Linked DNA regions of Macaca fascicularis. The protein of the gene in region 7 interacts with the protein of the main gene of each other region in a pairwise test. Links are inferred from orthologs where the notes say so. Each region holds a gene or a part of one and is shown on either strand. Other genes may lie near its edges.

Region 1 (2,813 bases), on a different chromosome or scaffold from region 7:
TCCACAAATGGAAATAAAAAGAGACCAATAATAGATATATTACTAACTGCTTCAGAACCAGACTGTTAGATTAAGAATAGAATTTAGAAATCATCACTAATTACTTCATTTTGCATTTAAAGAAAAATAGTATCAAAGAGGGAAAATTCTTCTCCCAGAGTTATATTCACGAAAGGCAAATCAGAACAACAATCTAAACTCCTCTATTACTGCAACGTTCTTTTCCCAATACCACGTGGTCATTCCAGGCACTATGGTAAATGTCTGCTGCCCTTGAAGATTTACTCAGACTTGAGTTTTAATAAGTGATTTGATAAGGATTTAAGCACCTGCAAAATAAATCCTGGCATTTAAAGGCATATAATAATAAGTAGCATAAAAACCAGGAGCTATTTGATAAATGTTTGTAGAGATTGTTGACAAAAGTGTCAATGGTAAAAGTAAAGAATAGTTTGTTTAATTTTGTGTTTTAGAGCGTAGTTCTCCTGTCAGCTGAAGAAAAAAAAGAACAAGTCATTGAAATAAAAGAAGAAGTGGTTGGGCTAACTGAAACATCTTCCCAACCAAAGAATGAAGAAGACATTGAAATTATTCCAATCCAAGAAGAGGAAGAAGAAGAAACAGAGACAAACTTTCCAGAACCTCCCCAAGATCAGGAATCTTCACCAATAGAAAATGACAGCTCTCCTTAAATGATTTCTTCTATTTTCTGTTTCCTTTTTTAAACATTAGTGTTCATAGCTTCCAAGAGACACGCTGACTTTCATTTCTTGAGGTACTCTGCACATACCCACCACATCTCTATCTGGCGTTTGCATGGAGTGACCATAGCCCCTTCTCTCTTACACTGAATGTAGAGAATGTAGCCATTGTAGCAGCTTGTGTTGTCATGATTCTTCTTTTGAGCAACTTTCTTACGTTGAAGAAAGGCAGAATGAGTGCTTCAGAATGTGATTTCCTACTAACCTGTTCCTTGGATAGGCTTTTTAGTATGGTTGTTTTGGTTTTTTTTTTTTTTTTCATTTTCTCCATCAGCAACCAGAGAGACTGCACCTGATGGTAAAGATATATGACTACTTCACAACATTCCTAAACTATCTTTTTTTTTTTTTTTTCCACATCTATGCTTTTGGTGGAGTCCCTTTGGCATCACTGTTTTAAGGACGATTAAAAAAATAACAACTAGGGACAATACAGAACCTATTCCATTTATCTTTCTACAGGGCTGACATTGTGGCACGTTCTTAGAGTTACCACACCCCATGAGGGAAGCTCTAAATGGCCAACACTCATCTGTTTTTGTAAAAACAGCATAGCTTATACATGGACATGTCTCTGCCTTAACTCTTCCTGACTCCCACTCTAGGCTATTGTTTGCATGTCTACCTACTTTTAGCCTTTATGCAAGAAAAGAAAAAAATGACCATAGAAAATGCCACAATGAGGTGCCCAAATTTCAAATAATAATCAACATTTCATTGTATTTATAATTTCCAGATGACAAAGTATTTCATCAAATAACTTCATCTGATGTTCCATGATCAAGAAAACATCCCTGTCTCTATTTTACAAGTAATTCAAAGAGGTCACATAACTTGTAAACAAGAAAAGGTAACTTATCAACAGTCATAACTAGTAATTACGAGAGCCTTGTTTCATAACGAGGTCTTCTTACTCAAATCCTGTGATGTTTGAGATAACCAAATTGTCTCCCCAATGTCTGCATAAATTGTGAGAGCCAAGTCAACAGCTTTTATCAAGAACTTACCCTCTGATCAGCACTAAACAAGCACTGAGAGACACAGAGGGTCAGAGTCAGATTTTACCTATGGGGATAAAAAGACTCAGACTTCTACCACATTTGGAAAACTACTTGCATCATAAATATATAATTAACTGGTAGTTTATATAAAGCAGACACTAAGTGCTATAGACATTCTCAGAATATCCTACTCGGAAACAATGTAATTAAAATGCCAAATCTGAGTCAATAGCTGCCTTACTTTTCAATTCAGATATATTAGTACCTTACTTAGAAATAATGTTAACCTAGGGTGAGGTCACTATAATCTGTAGTCTATTATTTGGGCATTTGCTACATGATGAGTGCTGCCAGATTGTGGCAGGTAAAGAGACAATGTAATTTGCACTCCCTGTGATATTTCTACATTTTTAGAGACCACTAGTGGAAGACATTCCTCAAAATTAGAAAAAAAAAGGAGATAGAACATTTCTGTCTATGTAAAGTTCTCAAAATTCGTTCTAAATTAATAAAACTATCTTTGTGCTCTTTTCTGCAACAGATGATTCCAACATGGGTGTTTGTCTATTCTTCTTTACTCTTGAAACATTAGACCATGGGAGGCTCTTACAGCCTTGAGTTCATATTTACAAAACCCCAATCTAGGTTTGAACTGTGAGGTGTCAGGTCATCAAATATTCATGTCTATATAGTCTTACACAGGTTCCCAAAGACAATGTTCATGGGATAGGTCATTGATAATGGATTCCTTACTCCCAGAACTCCAGATGACTGAAATATATGAGAGAAGTAGGATAGGGCATGGTAGGGGCAGGCCTGAGAAAAAAAAATGAAAGTCAGAAATCTTTAAAAAAAATACAAGATGTTATTTCTATCTTATTTTTTTCTCCATTTCTGAAATATATATGACGATTCCTCTCCAAACCCATGGTTTCTCCAAGAATTTTGAGTCATTTGTACAACCTCAAATAATTAGTTTTGGCTGACCTCACATAAGTTCTTAAAATAGGGGACATCTTTAATGTCTGCTATTAAAGAAGAATGAAAATTC
Region 2 (4,046 bases), on a different chromosome or scaffold from region 7:
TAACCACTGGGTCTAGCGTCTTGGTGACACCAGCCACTAGGTGTCAGGGCAGTGCTGGAGGCAGCAGCTAGTTTATGGCGTGGGCAGTGAGGAAGAAGTGAGGAAGTAGAGACTGGGAGTGTAGAATCTTTCCAAAAACTTGCCTGTTAATGCAGGGAGGGGAGGCTGCTGAAGGACCTCTTAGTGAAGGGAGATGTGTTGCTGTTTCTGAGATGGGAAAGAGAAACAAGTTGCAATGTAGATGGGGAGGACGGAGAGGTTGAAGGTGTAGGAGAGATGGGTCACCATCAGATGGGATGTCTGTGAAGGAAAGACCTCAGCAGGCCCACAGCTTGGAAAGGAGAGACTGACTGTTGAGTTGATCCAAGCTCAGGTGTTGTCAGGCAGGTGCCATGATAGTAGAGAAGTTAGGATACTGTCAAGGGTGTGTGTGGCCAAAGGAGTGGTTCTGTGAATGTAAGGGAGAGACCCACCAGCAAGAAGCGCTGGTGAGGCAGGACCTGGGAGGATGCGAGGCTGCAGCCCGAATGGTGCCTGAAATAGTTTCAGGGGAAATGCTTGGTTCCCGAATCGGATCGCGGTATTCGCTGGATCCCCTGATCCTCTGGTCTCTAGGTCCTGGATGCTCCAGTTCTTACAACAGGACTTGGCATAGGGTAGGCCCAAATGCTGTTAGCCACATTAACGCAATTTTTTTTTTTTTTTTTTTTTTGAGACAGTCTCACTCTGTCGGCCAGGCTGGAGTGCAGTGGCACGATCTCGGCTCATTGCAACTTCCGTCTCCCCAGCTCAAGCAATTCTCCTGCCTCAGCCCCCAGAGTAGCTGGGATTACAGGCGTGTGCCACCATGCCCGGCTAATTTTTGTATTTTTAGTAGAGACGGGGTTTCACCATGTTGGCGAGGCTGGTCTCGAACTCCTGACCTCAGGTAATCCGCCAGCCTCGGCCTCCCAAAGTGCTGGGATTACAGGCGTGAGTCACCGCCCCCGGCCAAAACAGTTTTTAAATCTCTGGAGACGTCATTTCCCTTGACGCCTTGCAGCCGCCCCGACTACAACTCCCATCATGCCTGGCAGCCGCTGGGGCCGCGATTCCCCACGTCTCTTACCCGCTTCACCAGTCTGGGCGTTCTTAGCGGTTTTCCTAACTCTCTCGCCTGACTAGCTCCCGGGAACAGCCGTTTGGATCGCGGAGTGCGAACCCGGCCGGCCAATCGCCAAGTCAGAGGGGCAGGAGGGGCGTGGCCATTCCCCGCCCCGCCCCTGCTCCGTGGCTGGTTTTCTCTGCTGGCGCCTCGGACGGAACCTGGAGATAATGGGCAGCACCTGGGGGAACCCTGGCTGGGTGCGGCTCGCTCTTTGCTTGGCCGGCCTAGTGCTTTCGCTCTACGCGCTGCACGTGAAGGCGGCACGCGCCCGGGACAGGGATTACCGCGCGCTCTGCGACGTGGGCACCGCCATCAGCTGTTCCCGCGTCTTCTCCTCCAGGTGTGCACGGGAGTGGGAGGCGTGGGGCCTCGGAGCGGGGCGGCCAGATTGCCAGATGATTATTCTGGAGTGTGGGATCGGTGTGCCCAGGGAACGGACAAGGGGCTGGACTGCTCGCGGGGTCGTTGCACGGGGGCTGAGCTACCCAGAGATACTGGTGTTCGAAATAAGAGTGCGAGGCAAGGGACCAGACAGTGCTGGGGACTGGGATTATTCCGGGGACTCGCATGTGAGTTGGATGCCAAGGAATAACGGTGACCGGGAAAGGCGGGGAGGCAGGATGGCGGCAGAGATTGACGATGGTCTCAAGGACGGCGCGCAGGTGAAGGGGGGTTGGCGATGGCTGCGCCCGGGAACAAGGTGGCCCGGTCTGGCTGTGCGTGATGGCCAGGCGTTAGCATAATGACGGAATACCGAGGAGGCGAGTGCGTGGCCAGGGAGCTGGAGATTCTGGGGTCCAGGGCAAAGATAATCTGCCGCCGACTCCCAGTCTCTGATGCAAAACCGAGTGAACCGTTATACCAGCCTTGCCATTTTAAGAATTACTTAAGGGTCGGGCGCGGTGGCTCACTCCTGTAATCCCAGCACTTTGGGAGGCCGAGGCGGCTGGATCACTTGAAGTCAGTTTACCAGCCTGGCCAACATGGTGAAAGCCTGTCTCTACCAAAAATAGAAAAATTATCTCGGCGCTATTGCAGGCTCCTGTAATCCCGGCTACTTGGGGGCCTAAGGCAGGAGAATCGCTTGAACCCGAGAGGCGGAGGTTTCAGTGAGCCAAGATCGCGCCACTGCACTCCAGCATGGGCCACAGAGTGAGACTCTGTCTCAAAAAAAAAAAAAAAAAAGAATTACTTAAGGTCTAGATGAAAAGCAGGGCCTACCAAGTAGCCACGTCAGGCCTGGTCTGGGGAGAGGGGAGGATAGGGTCAGTGACATGGAATCCTGACGTGGCCAAAAGTGTCTGCTGACTGGAGGTCATCGACCCTTGGTCTAGGATAGGAGGTGGGGAACAGAGGATAACCCAGGTGGCTTCTTGGAAATCACCTTTCCGGGGTAGGGTCCAAGGCACTAGGTTGACATTCCTAACCTGGTTCCACCCCCCCACACCACCCCTCTGCCAGGTGGGGCAGGGGCTTCGGGCTGGTGGAGCATGTGCTGGGACCGGACAGCATCCTCAATCAATCCAACAGCATATTTGGTTGCATCTTCTACACACTACAGCTATTGTTAGGTGAGTGGCTCTGCCCCCTCCCTGCAGGCCCCGGCCCTCATCCCCCTTGGTCAGCTCAGCCCCACTCCATGCAATCTTGGTGATCCACAGCTGATAGCCAGCTAGCTGCTCATCACGGAGCATCCTGCAGGTGGAGAGGTGGGGAGGTAACTAACAGGAGTCTTTTAATTGGTTTAAGTACTGTTAGAGGCTAAAGGGCCCTTAAAGACATCCTAGGTCCCCAGGTTTTTTGTTTGTTGTTGTTTTGAGACAGGGTCTGGCTCTGTTGCCCAAACTGAGGTCTAGGATGCCCTTAGCGTGCACTGGTGCGATCTCAGCTCATAGCAACCTCTGCCTCCCTGCCCAAGTGATCCTCCCACCTTAGCCTCCCGAGTAGCTGGAATCACAGGCGTGCACCACTATACCCAGCTAATTTTTGTGGTTTTTTTGGTAGAGACAGTGTCTCGCCATGTTGCCCAGGCTGGTCTTAAGCGATCTGTCTGCCTCAGCCTCCCAAGGTGCTGGGGGGATTACAGGCATGAGCTACCATGCCCCACCAGCACCCCAGTTTTGTGGAAAAGATGCCGAAATTCCTTTTTAAGGAGAAGCTGAACATGAGCTATCTTTTATCTCATTTAGTGCTCCGCAGGAAAATTTGTATCTGGTCCCAGGAATTATTGAACAGATAGGGGAACCAAGGGAGTGGGAGACGATGGCACCCCAGGCCTTGCTGATGCCATACCCTGGAGATGAGACTACCTATTACCACCCTTCCCAACAGGCCCCCACACTCCCTTTGAGTCACCCTTCCCAGCTCCAGAGAAGGCATCACCGAGGGAGGCCCAGCACCACGGTCCCTGGCTGACACATGGTTCAGACTTGGCCGATTTATTTAGGAAATTTTATTGCTCAGAACTTTCCCTCCCTGGGCAATGGCAAGTTCCTTGGAGGGAACCTGTCAAAGCCTTTTTTTTTTTTTTTTTTTTTAAGAAATCATCTTGCTCTGTTGCCCAGGCTGAAGTGCAGTGGCACAATCATAGCTCACTGTAATCTGGAACTCCTGGCTCAAATGATCCTCCTGTGTAGCTGGGACTAGAGTTACATGCCACTGCACCCAGCTAATTTTTATTTTATTTTTTATTTTTTGAGACATAGTCTTGCTCTGTCACCAGGCTGGAGGGCAGTCGCGTGATCTTGGCTCACTGCAACCTCTGCCATCCCGGTTCAAACAATTCTGTGTCAGCCTCCCGAGTAGCTGGGACTACGGGCGCGTGCCACCACGCCCAGCTCATTTTTGTATTTTTAGTAGAGAGGGTTTCACCCTGTTGGCCAGGATGGTCTCAGTCTCT
Region 3 (3,500 bases), on a different chromosome or scaffold from region 7:
TTTTCTTGCTCACCTGACCTTCCAGGTGTGAGATGCAGATTAAGGGCTGCCACATCCCCAGTATCTCAAACAAAGGATCAGACATCCAACAGTCTCTCCTTCAAGTTCCCTCTGATTTGAGTCATCTGTGTTTCTAAATGGTCATTGATACTGGTTTCTCTAAGCTCACCTACCCTGTGTCAGTGAAGAACCTGACATGTAATATTTGCTCAATATTTATCAAAGAATAGGATATGAAATTTTTTTGATAGAGAAAGTTGAGAGCCAGTTTATGAAAAGGCAATTTTTGTACAACTCTTTGTCAGTGTTGATTCAAATGACAGAGTTGTAGCTTAAAGAAGTGTATTAGTCCTTTGGTTGTAATGCGTGCTTTCTCACTTTAGGCAACAGAAGCAGCAGTATACTAACCAGCTTGCCAAAGAAACAGATAAGTACATTAAAGAGTTTGGATCTCTGCCCACCACCCCCAGTGAACAGGTATCAAGCTTTAAGACACATTGTTGATGCATTGAATGTGAAAAAAACCAAATACGTTGTAGGATCTTTGAACTGTTACGCTAGAAAGGAAATTATGCTAGAAAGGAAATCAAAAATAATTCTGTTTGAGATTAGTTCATAGAACACAAAACTATATTTAATTGCTCAGGTAGTATCCTGTGGTTCAATAAAGCAAAAATTATTTCCATGCATTTGCCCTGACCCATAATTAAGTAAGTTCTCAGAAAATGCTTCCTGAGTAATTATTTCCTGGCCTTCCGGGGCTGAGTGCGTGGAACATGCAGGCTCATTCAAGATGTGAGGTGTCCTGGGGGCATATATTTATTTCCCTGCTTATTTAATGGAAGTTATTACTTAGCTAAAAGTATAAGGCTTTATTTGCCTGAAAAGGAATTACTTTAAAATAGCCTCAAAATAATGAGCTAGTTTTTAGCAGCATGAAAACTTGAGGTGAGAAATCCAGCATAATGGGTCTTTTGCCTCCAGTTAAATATGCTCGGTATTTGACATACTGTCAGAATGTTGTTGAGAGTTAATCCGTAAGGCCCTGTAATTGGGGAGCAAGTGAAAACTTCAGGATTAAATAAAGAACCAAGTACTGCAAACTGTTTTACTTCACAGCTAGATTCTAGTTGGCTTTTTCTTCTCTTTCCTCTAGCGTCAAAGGAAAATACAGAAGGATCGCTTAGTGGCAGAGTTCACAGCATCACTGACAAACTTCCAGAAGGTTCAGAGGCAAGCGGCTGAGCGAGAGAAAGAGTTTGTTGCTCGAGTAAGAGCCAGTTCCAGAGTGTCTGTGAGTATTTTAAAAGACATTCTAGAAACGACCCTTACTTCCTAAGGGTCCTATCAAAGTCTATAGTAGCATAATTTTTTAAGTCATAAAGATCTGTGACTAACTTGGAAATCAGCACTTGAATATTCATTTTTATGCTTTTCTGCTCCATTTTTGGAGAAGATGATAATTATGTATTACTGTGGTTTTTTTTCTGTGTCATTGTACAGAAGATTACAGACTATATAAAAATATAGAGACGTATTTTGTCAAAAAAGATGAGGGATCAAACCCTGAGTAGTATTCTCACATCGTCTTGGTACGGAGGCTTTCTGCTTGTGGACACACTAGTATAGAAAGCACTTTCCTCCTGGATTACACCAAGATGACGGAGATGAATGGCGCAACTATGTTGTCTGAATATTGAAAATGAACATGAGCCTGGAGAAAATAAATGAAAGGAAGCTTTACAATAGAATTTTGAATTAATTTAATTTTAAATTCCCTTACAAACTATCACGAGTTTTCTTATTCATTAACATATGAATTCCAAGACTACATTAAGCTTTAACTAAATAATACTTATTTGACCCTTGAGAATGTTTAGTGTTTGTCTACTTAGAATATAAAATTACTTATAATTATGTTATTACTTGAAGCAGTTGACCTGAAAAATTAGAACAAGAACTTCTTTCTCTCTCTCTCTACACACACCACACACACACACACACACACACACACACACACACACACACAGAGACATGTACATAAATCGTTTAGATTATTAGGGAAAATATGAGTGTTTATTTTTTCTCATTTTTGCTTTCTTTGCCACTTCTCATTCCATCCTGTTACTAAATCATTCAGGGCGGTTTTCCTGAGGACAGCTCAAAAGAAAGGAATCTTGTATCCTGGGAAAGGTAAGAAATACAAAACATTTTTCAGATCAAAAGGTAATTTTTCAAAGTTTATACATTAAGGCCCCTGGAACAGAATTAAAGCTTTCAATATAAGTTGTTTATATGTTGAAAACAGAGTAAATTTGAAAAAAAATTTAATTATAAAGTATTTATCATAAAATATATAAAATTTTCCAAATAAATGTTTATGGACTTAATTAATAATATAGACTTTCCCTTATATGAGGTTTAAATCAACTAAGAAGAAATACCCAGTTGACAAATATAGCTTCCAATAATTAAGTAATAACTCTAAACTCACGTTAGATAAAATGATATAAGTGAAATGAAAAATGAATAAAATTTTATTCATATATCTGTTATAGTCTTAGAATTTTTTAAGTGAGTAGTTCTGCGACTTTGAAGAGTAAAACGTCCTATTTAATGAATATATCTTAAATAGGAAATGAATCTCATTGTTTTGAATACCAATCTTTGTTTTTTTCCACATTCATTTTTTTCTGTTAGCCAAACTCAACCTCAAGTGCAGGTGCAGGATGAAGAAATTACAGAGGATGACCTCCGCCTTATTCATGAGAGAGAATCTTCTATCAGGCAACTTGAAGTAAGGCTTACATTGTAGACTTGGGCTGCTACCCTGTTCTTAGTGAGTTTGTTCTCAAAATGCTTAGGTAATGCTGGCAGAGCGTACGAGAAAGAAATTTTATTTTTTTCTTTTTGAGACAGTCTCCCTCTGTCGCCCAGACTGGAGTGCAATGGCATGATCTCGGCTCATTGCAATCTCCATCTCCCAGATTCAAGCGATTCTCATGCCTCAGCTTCCTGAGTAGCTGGGATTACAGGCATGTGCCACCCCAACCGGCCAATTTTTTGTACTTTTAGCAGAGACAGGGTTTCACCATGTTGTCCAGGCTGGTCTCAAACTCCTGGTCTCAAGTAATCTGCCTGCCTTGGCCTCCTAAAGTACTAGGATTATAGGTGTGAGCCACCATGTCTGGCCCAGAGAAAGAAAATTAATGTATCAGTTTGGTAGCATTTGTAATGTATAAATTAGAATAATTCCTTTTTGAAAAAAATAATATTGTCCTTACTGTTTGTGCTAGGATGAGGGAACATACTCCCTCCTACTGCAGCTTTTAAAAAATTATGATTCTATTAAGCCATCTATGGACTACCTTAGTATTGAGAAAATACCAGTGTAGAGATAAATGTCTGTCCGAGAGTCTGGATGTCTTCCCAGGATACATGATACACATCATACGTGCATGAGTAAGACCTTTTATAAAGCCTTCAAAGAATTTTATTTC
Region 4 (4,240 bases), on a different chromosome or scaffold from region 7:
TGTGGACAGACATGAAGCCACTCTCAAGTCACGGAGCAGTGCCTAGAAAAACACCACCCAAACCCATCTTCCTGCCCTCTGGTTAGGGCTGGCGGGGATGTGGGGGATGGGTGGGGTGGGTGAGGGTTGGGAAGGGATATGTGTGTCATCTCTGTGGGGCATGGAAACACAAGGCTGGGACACCCATTCTGGAGTAGCTTGGGGAGAGCCACTGACCCTAAGTAGAAAAGCCACCTCTCTCCTTAGGGCTCTGTCTGTTTCTCTGGGGACAGGATAGGACTACCTTATCCCTATGATGTGAGGTACTGCCAATTGTTAATCAGTGTCTGTGGCTTCTCTAGGGGACAAGCCCTTCGCGTCAGTGGGCATGGGGTGAGCAGCGTGGGTTGGATTTTCTCCTCAGGACCTTTCCAGCCTTAGGATCACGCTCTAGCACTGAGTGCTGCTGGAAGGGCAGGGAGTGCACCCCACCCCACCCCATTTATTGCTCAACCAAAGAGAGGGCCTCCCTCCCCCTCCCTTGGAGGGACTTGCTGGACCACCCCTCAGCACGCCCACACCTTCCTCCTCAGCTAGTGGAGGACGTGATCAGCAAGGCTTCCGCCTCTCAGGACGGCTGGGACAATAGGATTCACTCAGGATGTCAGGCTGTTCCTGGCTTTTTCTCTTCCCATTCCCAGCTGTGCCTCAGTTTTCCAAAGTGCTGGATTTAGAAAGGGTGAATTATGAGGGAGTTGGAGGGTTGTGCCCCTGTCCCCCTCCGCGCGCACACACAAGCACAGGCAGAGGCACATACCCCCTCCAAGTCAAAGTTGTGGGTGGTGTGGTGTTTGCGCGTCTGTGGCTGGGACTGGATGTGTCAGGGATGGGGAAACCATCATGCTGGTCACAGAAAATGGGAGGTGGGGACAGAAGCAGTTTTGAAGGAAAATACGAGGGGGACTGAAAGAAAGAAGGGGGCGTTGAAAGGGAGGGCGCTGGGAGGAAAAAGGTGCAGTGTGGAGGAAGCGCGGCGTGGGCGGGGCTGGGGAAGAGATAACGGAACATCTGAGGTGGAGTGGGCCGTAGGGCGTCGGGGCCGTTCTGAGTAGCGGGTGTGTAAATGGAACAGTCCCGAGATAGATTTTATGGGAGTCTGCTCAGGTCCTTAATGTGTGGCTGTACCCTCCAGCCCCATGTGCCCCACACGAAGGACAACCTTGGTGTGGCAGGGCCCAAAGAGGTCCTGTCTACCGAAATAACACCACCAGGCGGCCCTGGGGGCGCAGGGGCTCGGTGTGGGGACCGCAGAGCGCGCGGAGTCGCCGTGGGGTGGCGGGGCGGGCCGGGGGCGGGGCCGCGGGCTCGCGGGTGTAGGGAGGGAGGTGGCAGTGGGCTCAGGGCGGGGCGGGCCCAGCAGAGGGCGGGTTTGAATGTGCCCCGGCGGGCGCGGGAAGCTGCAGGAAGAGCGCGCGGTTCTCAGCGCGAGAGCACTGCTTCTCAGGCAGGTGCTGCCCGGGGCCGGGGACTGGGGACCGCCAGGGCAGAAGACGCCGCTGCCCGCTTGCCACGGAGGGCAGGGAGGCCGGGTCTGACGGCTCCGCAGCCCGGAGAAGGATCGCCGGGTGGGGCCCCAGTGCGGAGCGTGCGGAGACGCGCAGCACGTGGCGCGCACGGGCCAGGGAGCCAGAGGATCCTGCCGGGACCGGGACCCGAGCTGGGCTGGACAGCTTGTCTCCCGGGCCTGAAACAGACTGCGGTCACGTTGACCTCCGTAAGGGGCAGGCGAGTGGACGGGTGATCCCGATCGATCTGGTCGGTAACAGGGAGGGGCCGTGCCGCCGACTGCGCTGGCGGAGGGGAATGGGGATGGGGATGGAGGCTCGCGAGCGGAGGTGCGGGGCTGTCTCTTTAACCTGGGTCTTTTACTGGCTAAAGTCGTATCCCTGGCGTCTCCTTCCAGCGCACGTCCTCATTTACTGGTTTACTGTCAGAGTGTATGAGAGGGCGAAGACACACACTCCTCGGCTTTGCTTACCAGGAGAGAGCAGTCGTAGGTCAAGGCTGGCTCCAACCCTGCCCTCACACCTCTAGGGGTCTCTCTCCAGCCCCGTTGTCGTCCTTTTGCCTACTCCTCTCGGTGGCCTCCAGACCCTTCAACTTTCCTCCTGCTTGTGTTAGCTCCCCATGCCAGGATGTGTGTGATGGGGCGGGGCTGAGGTGCCTGACACTCAAGTCAGGCTGGGAATGATCTTGGTCTCCACCTCATTTTTCCCTTTAGTTGGATCAGAGTTCCCCCCCACCTCCCAGTCTACAGGGCTAGCTGAGAAGCAGCTTTTATACCTCTCTCCATTCCAAAAGGAGCTTGAACATTTAATTTGGATTCTAGCTCCTCCACTCACCAGCTCTGTGACCTCAGGCAAGTTACTCAACCTCTCTGAACTTCAGCTGGCCCAATCTATTCAGTGCTAGTACTAGCTTATGGGTGGTTGTGAGGAAAAGACGAGAGATCTGCAGATAGTGGCTGGCCCCATATGAGATCCTGGGAGTGGAGAATTGCAGGAGAGGTGTTGGGAGTCTGGAGGCAGGGAGGTACTCAATTTGGTGGCTGCTTTCAGGGGCCCACCTCAGCAGGCCAAGGCATAGTTGGAGGGACACCGGATGCTCTGAGCTGGTATCAGATCCCTGTTTGCTGCTGGGCAAAGGCAGACGAGCAAAACACGAAGGCTGGCCAGCTGAATGTTAGGATATGGGCAGGAGGAGAGGGCTGCCCGTGGTGGAGTTGAATTGTGCCCAAGACTGGAATGGGAACTCCTGAGAACAGAGAGAGCAGGGGTGTAGCTGGGGGATAGGGAAGAAATAAATACTTCTTCTCTAAGCCCAAGCCAGTTTTACCCAGGAAAACAGGAGCTATTCTCCCCACCCCAGGCCTCCATCTGCTTTGAAGTTGCACCTGCCCTTTACTTCCAGGAATCTTGCCTGTGGGGTGGAGTACAGGGTATGCGGGTATGAGGTAAGAACCTAAAGGAAGAGTCCTTACTACCGAATAGAAAACCTGAGACCTAGGCAGGGTGCGGTGGCTCATGCCTGTAATCCCAGCCACTTTGGGAAGCCAAGGTGGGTGAATCACCTGAGGTCGGGAGTTCCAAACCAGCCTGGTCAACATGGTGAAACCCCGTCTCTACTAAAAATACAGAAATCAGCCAGGCGTGGTGGCAGGAGCCTGTATTCCCAGCTACTCAGGAGGCTGAGGCAGGAGAATCACTTGAACCTGGGAGGCAGAATTTGCAGTGAGCCAAGATTGTGCCATTGCACTCCAACCTGGGCAACAGGAGCAAAAACTCCATCTCAAAAAAAGGAAAAAGAAAACCTGAGACCTGAGCCTTTCCCCCACCCCCACCCCCACCCCAGTAATGCCCTCTTGCCTTCATCTCCCTAGAAAATGTATTTTTTTTTTTTTTTTTTGAGACAGAGTCTCGCTGTGTCTCCCAGGCTGGAGTGCAGTGGCGTGATCTCGGCTCACTGCAAGCTCCGCCTCCCGGGTTCACGCCATTCTCCCGCCTCAGCCTCCCAAGTAGCTGAGACTACAGGCGCCCGCCACCACGCCCGGTTAGTTTTTTGTATTTTTAGTAGAGACGGGGTTTCACCATGTTAGCCAGGATAGTCTCGATCTCCTGACCTCGTGATCCACCCGCCTCGGCCTCCCAAAGTGCTGGGATTACAGGCTTGAGCCACCGCGCCCGGCCCCTAGAAAATGTAAATATGGTTATTCACCACTCTGGTGCCTAGGACAGTGCCTGGCTAGCATGCAGAGGTCCTCAGTAAATATTTGTTGAAGGGGTGATTGCAGGAATCCTTCTGCCTCCATCTGGAGGTGTGGGGTGAGGGGCCGAGGAGGACCTCGGAGAGCTTGGAGTTTCCCCAGCGAGGGTTGAGAGGAGCTACAGGGAACTGGGAGAGCCCATAGAATGTCTCATGGTGCCCAGCTGCTACTGTTTGTCTGAGTGGGCCCTGGAGCAATGCTGCACCTGTGAGAGCTCCCCTGCTGAGACTCCCTGTTCTCTTATCTCCCAAGCGACAGGGGTGGCTTTTTATCTCCTGGGTGTGCTTCTGCTTCTTTGCTTGCAAGCCTTCTCAGAATGGGGCCCCAGGAAGCCTGAGGGACTCTCTCCTGATATGCCCTGTGCCACCTTTTTCATTCTGGATCCGCACCCAGGAGCCCGTGGACAAGGCCCATTGCCTGAGCCTGAACTAGGAGCAC
Region 5 (3,992 bases), about 2.8 Mb from region 7:
ATTACCACCATCTTTCTCTTTTTGGGTAAAAGCATACTGTATAAATTCCCATCCATTTTTTTTTTCACTTTATAATGTATCCTGGAAATCACACCACAGATGTATATAGAGTTCTTCCCCATTACTTTTCTCAATTATATTAGCATTTCATTGCTTTGTTGTGTGAAAGTTTTTGGGAAGCCACTGTTTTGGACTAGCCTCATGCACTAGGCCCCAGCAGACCAGACCAAATCAGAATGGAGTCGTTTGTGCTAAGTACAACGTAATCAAACTGAACTTTGAAATGGGCCAGTTTTCCAAAAAATGGGAAATTCCCCTAAGCCTGAGTCAGTGAAACAAGGAAGTTCCTTCTGCTTTAACTCTAAGAGAAAAATAACTTTGAAACGACGAGTCTGCTTTTTGTTCTGTTTCTGCTTTCTTCAGCCCCTATTTGCCAATAAAACCAACCGCCTCTGCTCAGCTGATCAGAACACTCATTCTACTTTATAGAATGGGGTGTTTTCTGAGTCTAGAATCACAAATAAGAGTCAATTAAGATTTTTAAACTAATTCATTGTAACGCTGTCTTTCGACTGTTGTACTATAATTTATTCAAGCATTCCTTTATTTAGGAATTTGGGGGTAATTTCCAATATTTTGGTATTACGAATCATGCTGAATAGTCGTGCATGCCCTTTCATATTTTCACCACACGTATTTTTGGGTGAAAGCATGAATGCATCCATGCAATTTTGCTAGATATTAAGCTACTCTTTTCACTATTTCTGTACAGATGGAGGGACAGATGAGACAGCTGCCTGGGGCACTTCAGCAGTTACTGGCACAGCTGGGATTTGAACTTGGATGTTAACTATTTTCATACACTCTCTAGGTCATTCCAAGGTGGCAGAGACAAGCAAATAATTTCGTATCTGGACAGCATATTCACTGAAACACTTATGCGTATCCTTCCTGCTCCCAGCATACAAGTTCTTCCTTAGCAAAACCTCCAGTCCTCTAATTTAGCATACTTTCGTCTAATCTGTCACTTTCCTCAGGCCTCAAAACTAAGAGCACTCCTCATCCCCACCCGGTAATAATCTGGTCGGGTATAGCGGCGGTGGGCGGAGAGAGAATTGGAGGTGGAGAGCTTTGCGCATGCCCGGACACTTAGGACTCTGGGGCCCCTGCAGAGGCAGGACCAGGATGTGACGTAATAACCGCGCGCGGCGCCCGGCGTTCCCACAAGGTCGCTTTGCAGAGCGGGAGCGAGCTTAAGTAACTAGTCCCTAGTTCGAGGGTGGGTCGTGTCCTTTTGCCTTGGTACCAGCGGAGACATGACGGGGTATACTCCGGATGAGAAACTGCGGCTGCAACAGCTGCGAGAGCTGAGAAGGCGATGGCTGAAGGACCAGGAGCTGAGCGCTCGGGAGCCGGTGCTGCCCCCACAGAAGATGTGGCCTATGGAGAAATTCTGGAATAAGTTTTTGGAGAATAAATCCCCTTGGAGGAGAACGGTGAGTGACAGACCTCTCCGGTCCCCCCTCAACACACCCCACCGCGGCCAGCAGCCCGGACACTGAACGTCCGCTCCCTGCAGCCACACCAAGGACTGATAACCGCTCCGTGCTGGGAAACACTGGCCAGTCCCGAGAGCGCTCCTGGAGTCCCGGGAGGCAGGAGTCCGGGAATATGTATGGCTTTGAGAGAATCATGCCTTTTATTGTCAAGTACAGTGAGACGGGGGCGAATTTTAATACTTAGGTTTTCCAGGACGCTGCACATTTGGTTCTCTTTTGACTGTAGAAATCTTCCCTCAGAATAATAGCCAAGGACTCGCTAGAATTAAAATTCTGTGATTTAAGTATTTGAGGACACTTGTCTAACTTTTAAGTGTGACGTTCTAGAGATCAAGTAACACAGTATCCAACTACCAGAGGGCACAGCCAGCCCTTAGCTGGTAGTACAGCCCCATGTGATCCCCGTAAAAGACAGGGTCCTGTTGGTATGCCTTGTGAGTCACATTCAAGAGCTACCTTTCTAAACTACCGTTCTGTACTTTTAACACAGGGTTTCGTTAAAAAATGACATTTTGGACTTTGAAGAAAATCACTCATTCAAGAAATTTATTTTCAAGGCCTCTGGGTATTTTCTTGAGGTCTGTTATGGGTGATAAACATCTCAGAATTGCTTTCAGTTACCTACAACACTTACTGATAATAGTAGTAATAATACTAAGTAGCACCTGGGTGCTTGCTGTGTACTTGGCACTCTACTGAGGGTTTTACAAATGTTACTTCATTTCTTTATTCCTGCAAGGTAGATATTCCTAATCCTCACTTTAAATGTGAAGAAACTGAGGCCTATAAAGATTCAGTGATTTGCCGGTGGTCAGGGAGCTAGGAATTGAAGGAGTTCATATTGAAATCAACATGTACCTATTTCTTACTGTACTACAAAGTCTAGTGCAATAGAATTGTTGAAAATTTTTTCTGAGAAAGTGGTATTGGATACTTATTTATGGTGGTAAAATTCAACTCTTCTCTCACCCTTTGTATCCCTGACATTATCGGGATATTGGCAGTCACTGATTTAAGTTGACATCCCATCCATCAGCCAGTGATAAAAGGAAGTAAATAAATTATCATGTGTTGAAATTCACCTTACCTTAATGTATTCTTTTATAATCATATCTGTTATAATTCTTAGATTCTTGATTGTCCCTTCCTTGAATGGATAGGTGTTTTGTAATCAAATTGGAGGACATGGGAAAGTTCCATTTTTAGTTCTTTTTTAAAATAGTGTTGCAGAGGGCATTTTGGAGTGAGTTTGGGACACCCATTAGTATGTAAAATGTCCTTTTTCCAGCATTGGTGTTGTCAAGGTTTTCTGCCTTATACTTAAAATAATGTGAGTGCCATTGATCAATAAATAAGGGAGATGACTATACCTGAAAAATTATGAGGTTTGATTACTCTGGTTAAATACATTAAAATTATTATTTCATTAATTTGCTCTATTTTATCTTTAACAAACTTATAATAAGGGTATTTTTTAAAGTCTTTAAAAAATCTATAAATGCCTTGCTATATTCTTGCAAAATACTATTTAAGCATTTTGGTCTGGACTTTGTAGGTATCTTCTAGTGGACTCTGCATTTACTAAGAATATTTGAGTAGATGAGGTTACCTACAAACTATAAGAAAATATGTACCATTTAGAGTTTTGTAAAATAATAATGACATTGTTACATCATTGATGCCTTTTGTTCTGCCATAAATATGAAAAATGGGATATGTTTATTTTGTGTATGTGTTTTTTCCGCCAGGTCCATGGGGTATACCAAAAGGGTATCTTTATTTTCACTCATATACTTGTACCTGCCTGGATTATTCATTATTACCTGAAGTATCATGTGTCTGTAAGTATGTCCTCTTCAGAATTTATTTTTATATTGTCCAAAATTATTTTCTATGTGGATATCTTACCCTACTTAGTGGAAATAATCTGCCACTTATAAATGGATTTTGAAGTACTTTGAATTCTCTTAGGTAAAAGGTTTAATGAAAGTTACGTAATTGGGTATAGTTTTTTAAAAAAATACTGTGACTAGTTTACAACTTGGAATGGATTTCCTCATAGAAATTGGTATTTAAGAGATAAGAATGTAGTGACCTAATAATACTAGGGTAAATTTGGGGTCATGAATAGGAAAGGAGAAAAGAATTTCTGCTCCTTTTAAAAAACCTATATCTGGTATAAGATAAAAATTCAAAATAGACAAAGCTTATCTTTGTCATCATCCTATTTCTGTTTCCTTCATTTTATCTGATTCTTCACAACTTTTATTTATTTAGAACTCAGGATGTCCAGATGCCTGCACTTTTTCACTGATACAGATCTTGCATGGGCTGATTGAACTCAGCCAGTCATGGTATTTTAAATGCTTAGTCTGGTGCAGGGTGTTGGATCCCAGGCAGAATGAGAAGGGCATACATTTTGGGAAGTGGCGT
Region 6 (3,973 bases), on a different chromosome or scaffold from region 7:
GGGCATGCTGAGGAGGAAATGGGATAGGTGAACACAAAGCTGGCTGGGGGTGGGGTCCTTCCCAACTGCTGAGCTCAGGGGAGCCACCCACCTATAAGCAGGCCTCCAAGGACTCCCATTCTTATTCAGGCCACATTCCCAATCGCTTTAAGATGCAGCCTTGTGGCTGGGTGCAGTGGCTCACGCCTGTAATCCCAGCACCTGGGAGGCCAAGGTGGGCGGATCACCTGAGGTCAGGAGTTCCAGACCAGCCTGGCAAACATGGTGAAACCCCATCTCTACTAAAAATACAAAATTAGCCAGGCATGGTGGCGGATGCCTGTAATCCCGGCGATTATGCCTATAACTGCTTGAACACCGGAGGCAAATGTTGCAGTGAGCTGAGATCACACCACTGCACTCCAGCCTTGGTGACAGAGAAACTCCATCTCAAAAAAAAAAAAAAGAAAAAGAAAAAAGGCCAAGCATGGTGGCTCACACCTGTAATCCTAGCACTTTGGGAGGCCAAGGCGGACAGATCACCTGAGGTCAGGAGTTTGAGCCCAGCCTGGCCAACATTGGTGAAACCCTATCTCTACTAAAAATACAAAAAAAAAAAAAAAAAAAAAAAAAATTAGCCGGGTGTGGTGTTGGGCACCTGTAATCCCAACTACTCAGGAGGCTGAGGCAGGAGAATAGCTTGAACCCAGGAGGTGGAGGTTGCAGTGAGCCGAGATTGCACCACTGCACTCCAGCCTGGTGACAGAGCAAGACTCCATCTCAAAAAAAAAAAAAAAAGCAAAAAAAAAAAAAAAAACCCCAGAATCCACAACAACAAAAAAACAAATTCAGGCTGGGCATGGTGACTCTTGCAGCCTTGTAAACACTCTTCAGTCATTAAAACACTAGGCCAGGCCGGGCGCGGTGGCTCAAGCCTGTAATCCCAACACTTTGGGAGGCCGAGATGGGCGGACCACGAGGTCAGGAGATTGAGACCATCCTGGCTAACATGGTGAAACCCCGTCTCTACTAAAAAATACAAAAAACTAGCCGGGCGAGGTGGCGGGCACCTGTAGTCCCAGCTACTCGGGAGGCTGAGGCGGGAGAATGGCGTGAACCGTGGAGGTGGAGCTGGCAGTGAGCTGAGATCCGGCCACTGCACTCCAGCCTGGGTGACAGAGCGAGACTCAGTCTAAAAAAAAAAAAAAAAAATAGGCCGGGCGCGGTGGCTCAAGCCTGTAATCCCAGCACTTTGGGAGGCCGAGGCGGGTGGATCACGAGGTCAGGAGATCGAGACTATCCTGGCTAACATGGTGAAACCCCGTCTCTACTAAAAATACAAAAAACTAGCCGGGCGTGGTGGCGGGCGCCTGTAGTCTCAGCTACTTGGGAGGCTGAGGCGGGAGAATGGCGTGAACCCGGGAGGCGAAGCTTGCAGTGAGCCGAGATCACGCCACTGCACTCCAGCCTGGGAGACACAGCGAGACTCCGTCTCAAAAAATAAAAAATAAAAAAAAAATAAAATAAAATAAAATAAAATAAAATAAAACACTGAATAATACAGTCCCCCAAACCAAGGGGGAAATCCTGGTACCGGTAGTTCCCAGTGGAGAGGAGGAGGAGGTACAGCATAACCCAGGAAAAAGCAGAGGCCCCATGAACGCGCATCTCAAAGTTTGTAATTGTTTTGATTGGCTTTTAGACCCAATATTTAATTCAGTTATTTTGTTAAAGTTTCAGATGCAAATCTCATGACCCCCCTATCATGTTATGCTCATCATGAAGACGTCAGGGTTAAAAATTCTGAAAAATTCTGCTTTAGTTAAAGAAAAAATCTCTCCGGGAGTATTTCTGTCATGGGTCCGTATCCCTGCGTCCCCATAGAACTGTCATTTTTCCCTTTCCTCCCGCCCTGCTTCCCGGAACATCATCCCCTGTTCTACAACACAGCTGGTCCAATTCTTGGGAGAAGCGGCACACGCCTGTAAGTCCCAGTTAACTCTGGGGGCTGAGGTGGGAGGATGCTTGAGCCCAGGAGTTAAAAAAAAAAAAAAAAAAACTAAGAAATTCTTGAAAGAAGGGAACGAGCGAGACCTGGAGGTGGGCAGGCCAAGGTTCAACACCCAGTTCTGACACCTGCTGACTGAGTACTCTAGGGCGTGTCGCCTGCCTGAACTGGGCAATCCTTATTTGTGAGACGCGGAACAACGTAGCCAGGGTGATGTCTGGCTCAGGTCCTCCGTAGCTAGTGAGGGACAGATGCCACCAAGAGAACCAAGCATGCTCTCCCAGGCTAGCGGAGCCCCAGGGATCTAGATTCAGCAGACAGCAGCTCCAAGCACACCTCAAAAGTTGGATTAAAACAAAATTGACTCCCTCACAGGGAAGCCCCAGAGATCTAGATTCAGCAGAGAGCAACTCCAAACACACCTCGAAAGTTGGATTTAACAAAAACTGGCTACCTCAAAGGCTGGATACTCTAAGGACACTCCCATCTTGGTCCCCAACCGCATACCAGGGTGCCAGGCATGTAAATCACCGTTCCTCCCTCCAGCCACCCTACGGGCACAGGCAGGATCAGAACCCCGCGCCTCCTGACTCCAGGGCCCAAGTTTCTGGCTCCCGGGCTCTGTCGCTGCGTGGCAGTGTCCCGGGTGGGACTGGGAGGCCAGCTGGGAGGGGAGGGAAAGGCGCCCGTCCCGCGCCCCGCGCTTGCCTGTCGGGTTGCAGACGCTCCATCCGGCCGGTGCTGGGCTCGTTCGTGCTGGCTCCGCGGGCGGCGGCTGCTCTGAGGACGCTCGAGAGGAGGCAGGCGTTGACTGTGCCGGAGCCGCGACCGGTCACATTTATGCTCGGCGGGTCACGTGGGCCAGGCGGAACAGCTGAGGCCCACTTTCTGGCCGGGCGTTGCAACACCCGCAGGGGCCCGCGCCCAGCCCGCCCCGGGCCAGTGTGGGGTGGAGAGGAGCAGTCATATGACCCTGGGGAAACAAAGTCTGGCCATAGACTTTTAGAGAAAACACACACACACACACACACACACACACACACACCTTAAGGAAATCTGAGAAGCTGCAGCCTCTGGGTGTGATTTTGCTCCTTCCAGAGCCCCACCTTCTGCTCCCTGTCCCCTTGGGACTTGATGCACCCCAGGCATCCCAGAAGGTTCCAGAAAGCTGGGAGGCAGCGCTGCTCAGAGCAGGAGGCTGGTGGGTAACATCAGGAACTTAGCAACCCCAGACCCTGCTGTCTCCAGCTCCCTAAATTGCCACCTTCTGGAGTCCTCTGCTGACTGCTTGCCTCCTCACACCCCCTTTAAATGTACATTTAGGATCTGGTTTTTTAGTTCCTGTCAAAAAACAGAGACTCCAGTATTTTCATGGTTCATCCCTACAACTGACCTGTGGGGGTAGATCGCTCCCATTTTGCAGCTGGAGAAACTGAGGCTCAGAGGGGTGCAGTGGTGTCACACATAAAGCAGGAAGCCAGTGTCCAAACCCAGGGAGGAGACTAAGTCCCCGCCTGCCTCCTCCACACTCCGGCAGCACCTGGTGCCCGCCTGGACTGGGACACCTGTCATACAAACTGCTTCCCTGCTGGGTTGCGTGGGACACTCTTCCAGGCACATTCAGGTCTGACTTATACTCAGTGCCTGCTCAGGGCCCAGAGCAGAGCTGGCCCTTGCTGATCGCCTATTGAATCAATTCTGCATGAGGTGCACTGCTGAGAACTTGGGGAAAAGAGGGTCATTGGGTGAACCCAGAGGACAAAACAAATGGACCAGATGATTCATAGATTTCATAGAGTCATTTCCCAATGCTATGATTCTCATTCTAATGTTTTTTTGTTTTTTATAAGATGGCTTTCAGGCCTGGCATGGTAGCTCACACCTGTAGTCCCAGCACTTTGGGAGGTTGAGGTGGGAAGATTGCTTTGAGCCCAGTTGAGGTAGGAAGATTGTTTTGAGTTCGAGACTGGCCTGGGCAACATAGGG
Region 7 (4,279 bases):
GAACACTAGCCTGAAATTAGTTTGTTATCTCTCTGGGTGAAAAGAAGCCCCTGTAACTACACAGGAATAAAGGACTTCCCTACAAAAGAAGGGCATTTACCTACTGCCAACCTCTTAAATTTCATCTGCTCAAGGCCAACTATGCTAGCCTCAATTACAACCCCTAAAGTTGCCCCAAATTCCTAACATTAACCCCACCTCTAATTTGTTTCCTGATTCCCACTACCGGCTTGGACATTCATCCCTTTCCCAGCAGAGACTCATATCCAATCCCTGATCCCTGATACTGATCTAAGTTTTACCTTTAGCACCAAATCGCCTGATGTTAACCCTAAATGTTGACCCCTAAGCCTAAAGTTCATTTGTAACTTGATTCCTAACTCACACTTTCACTGTTTATCCTTAATACCGACCATGTCAACATTCTTTAATCCCTCAAACAGGCTCTAACCTGATTCCTGTTGTTGACCCTTAACCCGACCCTGAACTCAAATTATGACGTATGATGGCCATCCCAGCAAACAAAATAATGACCTTAATCTAAACCTTACCTACCTAAAACGGACCTGACTCACACTACTAACTCTTAAGTTTTAACCCCAGCTTTTAACTCCTATAGCGACCCTTGATTCCTAAACGGACCCCACCTAATCCCCAACTCACCCAAAGCTTTCCTACCCACATGGCCGCTATCAGCTAACACCAAAGCCCGTCCCCGTCCTGCGCCCCGCTGCCACCCGACTCCTCACGCTCCCCAAAGCCTATCCCAGGCAGAGGACTGCCCCCAGGAGAGGCCTGTCTCCCCTAAGACGGCCTACTTCACGATGAGCCCAAGTTGAGATGCGCTGGACGCTGACCTCTCCAACTAACAGAACCCGAACCGGACACGCAGGAGAGGCAGGGCCCCGCCCGCCCCCGGGGCCAGGCTCCGCGGCCCCACCCTAAGGCCCCCGCCCGGCCCGGTCTGGCCTACCTGCGCTGCCCGGCTCTGCGCCCCGCCTGCCGGCCCGCCGGCCCGCTGCCCTGCCGCTTCTCGGGTCGCCCTCGGGCTCCGGCCTCGCCCTCCCTTCGACACTCTCTCGGCCACTTCCGTCCTGGGAACGTCCCCCACCCGCGGGCGGCGCCCTGGGGCAGCGCTCTATGGTCGCGGGGGGCAGGCAGGAAGCTGCTCTGGCCGCGTTCTCGATGCTCGGGGGCCGCCAAAGGCCGGCAGCCCCTCCCTGGCAGGAAGCGAGGGTGCGGCGCAATCCGGAGAGAACGCCAAGACGACGCCCGAGTTCCCTTTCAGGCCAGAACTCTTCCTTTTTCTAGCTTGGGGGAGAAGGCGGAGCCGGAGCCCTGGAACCCCCGCCCTCGGGGTGCGAGGCGGCAGCAGGGCCGTCCCCTACATTTGCATAGCCCCTGGGACGTGGCGCGGCACCCAGGCCTCTTCTCAGTTGGAGGGAACTCCAAGTCCCACAGTGCCACGGGGTGGGGTGCGTCACTTTCGCTGCGTTGGAGGCTGAGGAGAATTGAGCCTGGGAGGCGGGTCCGGAGAGGGCTACGGAAAGCCCCCGGCCGGGAAGCCCGGCCGTAGAGGGACAGTGGATAGGTGCCCGAGGCCTACAGCTGGCCTGGGGCTCGTGTCTGGGCTTCGGACGTTGGGGCCCGGTAGCCCACCCTTTCCGTAGTTGTCCCAAATGGAGCTGGAATTGGACGCTGGTGACCAAGACCTACTGGGCTTCCTGCTAGAGGAAAGTGGAGATTTGAGGACGGCGCCCGATGAGTCCGTGAGGGCCCCACTGGACTGGGAGCTGCCGCTTTCTGAGGTGCGTTGGGGTTCTGACTGGGGAAAGCGTGGGATGTCCATGAGGTCAGGGGATGGTGATAGGTCAAGGCCTGTTCACTGGAACCCTGCGCAGGTACCGAGCGACTGGGAGGTAGATGATTTGCTGAGCTCCCTGCTGAGTCCCCCAGCGTCGTCGTTGAACGTTCTCAGCAACTCCAACCCCTGCCTTGTCCACCATGACCACACCTACTCCCTCCCACGAGAACCTGTCTCTATGGATCTAGGTGAGTCTGAAATAAGTTTGCGGGGAGGACAGGGTTCATGGGCCTGGCTATTCATACGTTCCCTTTTGCAGAGAGTGAGAGCTGTAGAAAAGAGGGGACCCAGATGACTCCACAGCATATGGAGGAGCTGGCAGAGCAGGTACTTGACTTGATTTTCAGGAAGATTACTCTCACATTCCTCAGGTGGGGGCAGGATTCCCCATTCCTCTGTGACATCCCCATGCAACTGCCGCCCACTTTCTGGTTACCCTAGGATATTGTTAGGCTGGTACTGACAGATGAGGAGAAGAGTCTATTGGAGAAGGAGGGGCTTATTCTGCCTGAGACACTTCCTCTCACTAAGGTAAGACTCTCGTTAGTTGAGCAAAGGCTGAAAAGGGATTAAAAGTCTCAAGTAGGCCAATTCTGTTAACTTTATATCAATAACTTTAAAAAAGGATTGAGGTGAGAAACTTAGCAGATTTATTGCTAATAGGAAGTTGAGGCAGGTACCCAATATGCTAGATGCAAGGCAGATCCTCATTTTCGTTGGGCTTACACAAATTTTGGTGTTCTGTTAAAAAACAAACAAAAAAAAACCCTCAAAATTATCAGTGCAACATTAGTATTGGGCCTTGGAAAGGACTGTGTAAGTGAAGGGCCTTGACACTTCATTGGCTTCATAGTAATCCACCTCTTGCTGAATGGTAGAACTGTTTAGAGAGTTCAACACGATTGGACTAAGCAGTACATGAATAAATGCAAAATCCTTAGTTTCCAGTTTTAAGCAATCAGTGGCAACTTCACAAGCAGAGTACTGGGATACTATGATGAAATCAGTGCTCATTAATAGAAAGGTTCCAGGAATTTTTTTTTTTTTTTTTGACAAGGTCTTGTTCTGTTGCACAGGCTGGAGTGCAGTGATGTGATCATGGCACACTGCAGCCTTGAATTTCTGGGCTTAGGTGATTCTCCCACCTCAGCCTCCTGAGTAGCTGAGACTACAGGTGCACACCACCCTGCCCGGCAAATTTTTTTTTTGGTGTTTTTAGTAGAGATGGGGTTTTGCCTTGTTGCCAGGCTGGTCTTGAACGCCTGTGCTCAAGTGATCTACCCACCTTGGCCTCCAAAAGTAAAGAATTTTAATTCCTTCAAAGTACAAGATGAGTCAGCAGTGCGATGTGGCTACTAGGAAAGTTAATGGGATTTGGAAACTGTAGCAAGAGTTATTGTCTCCACAAGTCACTATCTTGCTTTCCTTTATACTGGCTAGAGCACATCTTTGACAGATACTAAGAAGATGCAGTCTATCCTAAGAAGATGAGTTAAAATTTTTGTCTAAGCTGTTTTTTTCTTGAACTTTTTTTCTCTGAGGAAATGTCAAATGCCTGAAAATAGCTTAACAGGGTTCATTCTATTTGGCCCCAGAGATACTAGGTAAGTCCAACGTATAGAAATTATAAGGAGACAGCTGTTGGTTCAGGATAAGGAAGTTTTTGTTTGAAGACAGATTCTTGCTTTACTGCCCAGGTTGGAGAATAGTGGTGAGATCATGGCTCACTACAGCTTTGACCTCTCAGGCTCAAGCGATTGTCCTTCCTCAGCCTCCTGAGGAGCAGGGACCACAGGCATGTGCCACCACACCCGGCTAATTTATTTTTAGTAGAGACAAGGTCTCACTGTGTTGCTCAGGCTGGTCTCAAACTCCTGGGCTCAAGCGGTCCTCCTGCCTTAGCTCCCCAAAGTGTTGGGATTACAGGCATGAGCCATGTCACTTGAATATTGCCTGACCAATTTTTTTTTTTAATAGTTTAAAATGGTCTGGCTTGTTAGGGTTAACACGTGCTCCGTGGAGGCATTCAGAAAGAATGTGAATGCCTATTGGTCAGGGAAGCTGTAGAAGGGATTTCTGTATTGGAAAGAGATGGATCTCAGTTGCCTTTCAACTTCTTGTTCTAGAGTCCCTCTAATGATACCCCTTTCCCTGTTTCCTTTCAGATGGAGGAACAAATTCTGAAACGTGTGCGGAGGAAGATTCGAAATAAAAGATCTGCTCAAGAGAGCCGCAGGAAAAAGAAGGTGTATGTTGGGGGTTTAGAGAGCAGGTATGAAAGGGAGAGGGACTCAGTTTTAAGTGTTAGGTTTTTGAAGGGAGGACACAGGCCATATCCCCATATCTTTGTTATTTCCCCCAGGGTCTTGAAATACACAGCCCAGAATATGGAGCTTCAGAACAAAGTACAGCTTC

What was found.
Region 1: the proteins of CREB3 (region 7) and MS4A1 interact in a two-hybrid assay, tested with the Homo sapiens proteins (2 studies listed by BioGRID and IntAct). The two-hybrid records come from large-scale screens. The link is inferred for Macaca fascicularis from reciprocal best matches to the Homo sapiens genes CREB3 and MS4A1.
Region 2: the proteins of CREB3 (region 7) and VKORC1 interact in a two-hybrid assay, tested with the Homo sapiens proteins (2 studies listed by BioGRID and IntAct). The two-hybrid records come from large-scale screens. The link is inferred for Macaca fascicularis from reciprocal best matches to the Homo sapiens genes CREB3 and VKORC1.
Region 3: the proteins of CREB3 (region 7) and STX7 interact in a two-hybrid assay, tested with the Homo sapiens proteins (2 studies listed by BioGRID and IntAct). The two-hybrid records come from large-scale screens. The link is inferred for Macaca fascicularis from reciprocal best matches to the Homo sapiens genes CREB3 and STX7.
Region 4: the proteins of CREB3 (region 7) and SLC29A1 interact in a two-hybrid assay, tested with the Homo sapiens proteins (2 studies listed by BioGRID and IntAct). The two-hybrid records come from large-scale screens. The link is inferred for Macaca fascicularis from reciprocal best matches to the Homo sapiens genes CREB3 and SLC29A1.
Region 5: the proteins of CREB3 (region 7) and NDUFB6 interact in a two-hybrid assay, tested with the Homo sapiens proteins (2 studies listed by BioGRID and IntAct). The two-hybrid records come from large-scale screens. The link is inferred for Macaca fascicularis from reciprocal best matches to the Homo sapiens genes CREB3 and NDUFB6.
Region 6: the proteins of CREB3 (region 7) and HMOX1 interact in a two-hybrid assay, tested with the Homo sapiens proteins (2 studies listed by BioGRID and IntAct). The two-hybrid records come from large-scale screens. The link is inferred for Macaca fascicularis from reciprocal best matches to the Homo sapiens genes CREB3 and HMOX1.

The regions. Positions count from the first base shown.
Region 1 is NC_088388.1:13,753,568-13,756,380, reverse strand, and holds the end of MS4A1 (B-lymphocyte antigen CD20), read left to right. Parts: intron 1-473; coding exon 474-692; 3' UTR 693-2,313; downstream 2,314-2,813. UniProt on the Homo sapiens protein: B-lymphocyte-specific membrane protein that plays a role in the regulation of cellular calcium influx necessary for the development, differentiation, and activation of B-lymphocytes.
Region 2 is NC_088394.1:29,273,799-29,277,844, reverse strand, and holds the start of VKORC1 (vitamin K epoxide reductase complex subunit 1), read left to right. Parts: upstream 1-1,246; 5' UTR 1,247-1,314; coding exon 1,315-1,487; intron 1,488-2,608; coding exon 2,609-2,718; intron 2,719-4,046.
Region 3 is NC_088378.1:36,426,606-36,430,105, reverse strand, and holds part of STX7 (syntaxin-7), read left to right. Parts: intron 1-383; coding exon 384-477; intron 478-1,156; coding exon 1,157-1,294; intron 1,295-2,140; coding exon 2,141-2,193; intron 2,194-2,700; coding exon 2,701-2,797; intron 2,798-3,500. UniProt on the Homo sapiens protein: May be involved in protein trafficking from the plasma membrane to the early endosome (EE) as well as in homotypic fusion of endocytic organelles. Mediates the endocytic trafficking from early endosomes to late endosomes and lysosomes.
Region 4 is NC_088378.1:127,294,115-127,298,354, reverse strand, and holds the start of SLC29A1 (equilibrative nucleoside transporter 1), read left to right. Parts: upstream 1-1,440; 5' UTR 1,441-1,753; exon of another isoform or gene 1,754-1,794; intron 1,795-1,942; 5' UTR 1,943-1,978; coding exon 1,979-2,036; intron 2,037-2,260; coding exon 2,261-2,398; intron 2,399-3,451; exon of another isoform or gene 3,452-3,588; intron 3,589-4,054; exon of another isoform or gene 4,055-4,155; coding exon of another isoform or gene 4,156-4,195; coding exon 4,196-4,240. UniProt on the Homo sapiens protein: Uniporter involved in the facilitative transport of nucleosides and nucleobases, and contributes to maintaining their cellular homeostasis. Functions as a Na(+)-independent transporter.
Region 5 is NC_088389.1:66,515,094-66,519,085, forward strand, and holds the start of NDUFB6 (NADH dehydrogenase [ubiquinone] 1 beta subcomplex subunit 6), read left to right. Parts: upstream 1-1,192; 5' UTR 1,193-1,316; coding exon 1,317-1,496; intron 1,497-3,307; coding exon 3,308-3,400; intron 3,401-3,992.
Region 6 is NC_088384.1:16,285,622-16,289,594, forward strand, and holds the start of HMOX1 (heme oxygenase 1), read right to left. Parts: upstream 2,801-3,973; 5' UTR 2,719-2,800; coding exon 2,696-2,718; exon of another isoform or gene 2,495-2,695; intron 8-2,494; coding exon 1-7.
Region 7 is NC_088389.1:63,665,254-63,669,532, reverse strand, and holds the start of CREB3 (cyclic AMP-responsive element-binding protein 3), read left to right. Parts: upstream 1-1,479; 5' UTR 1,480-1,679; coding exon 1,680-1,808; intron 1,809-1,901; coding exon 1,902-2,052; intron 2,053-2,123; coding exon 2,124-2,191; intron 2,192-2,305; coding exon 2,306-2,395; intron 2,396-4,029; coding exon 4,030-4,136; intron 4,137-4,226; coding exon 4,227-4,279. UniProt on the Homo sapiens protein: Endoplasmic reticulum (ER)-bound sequence-specific transcription factor that directly binds DNA and activates transcription. Plays a role in the unfolded protein response (UPR), promoting cell survival versus ER stress-induced apoptotic cell death.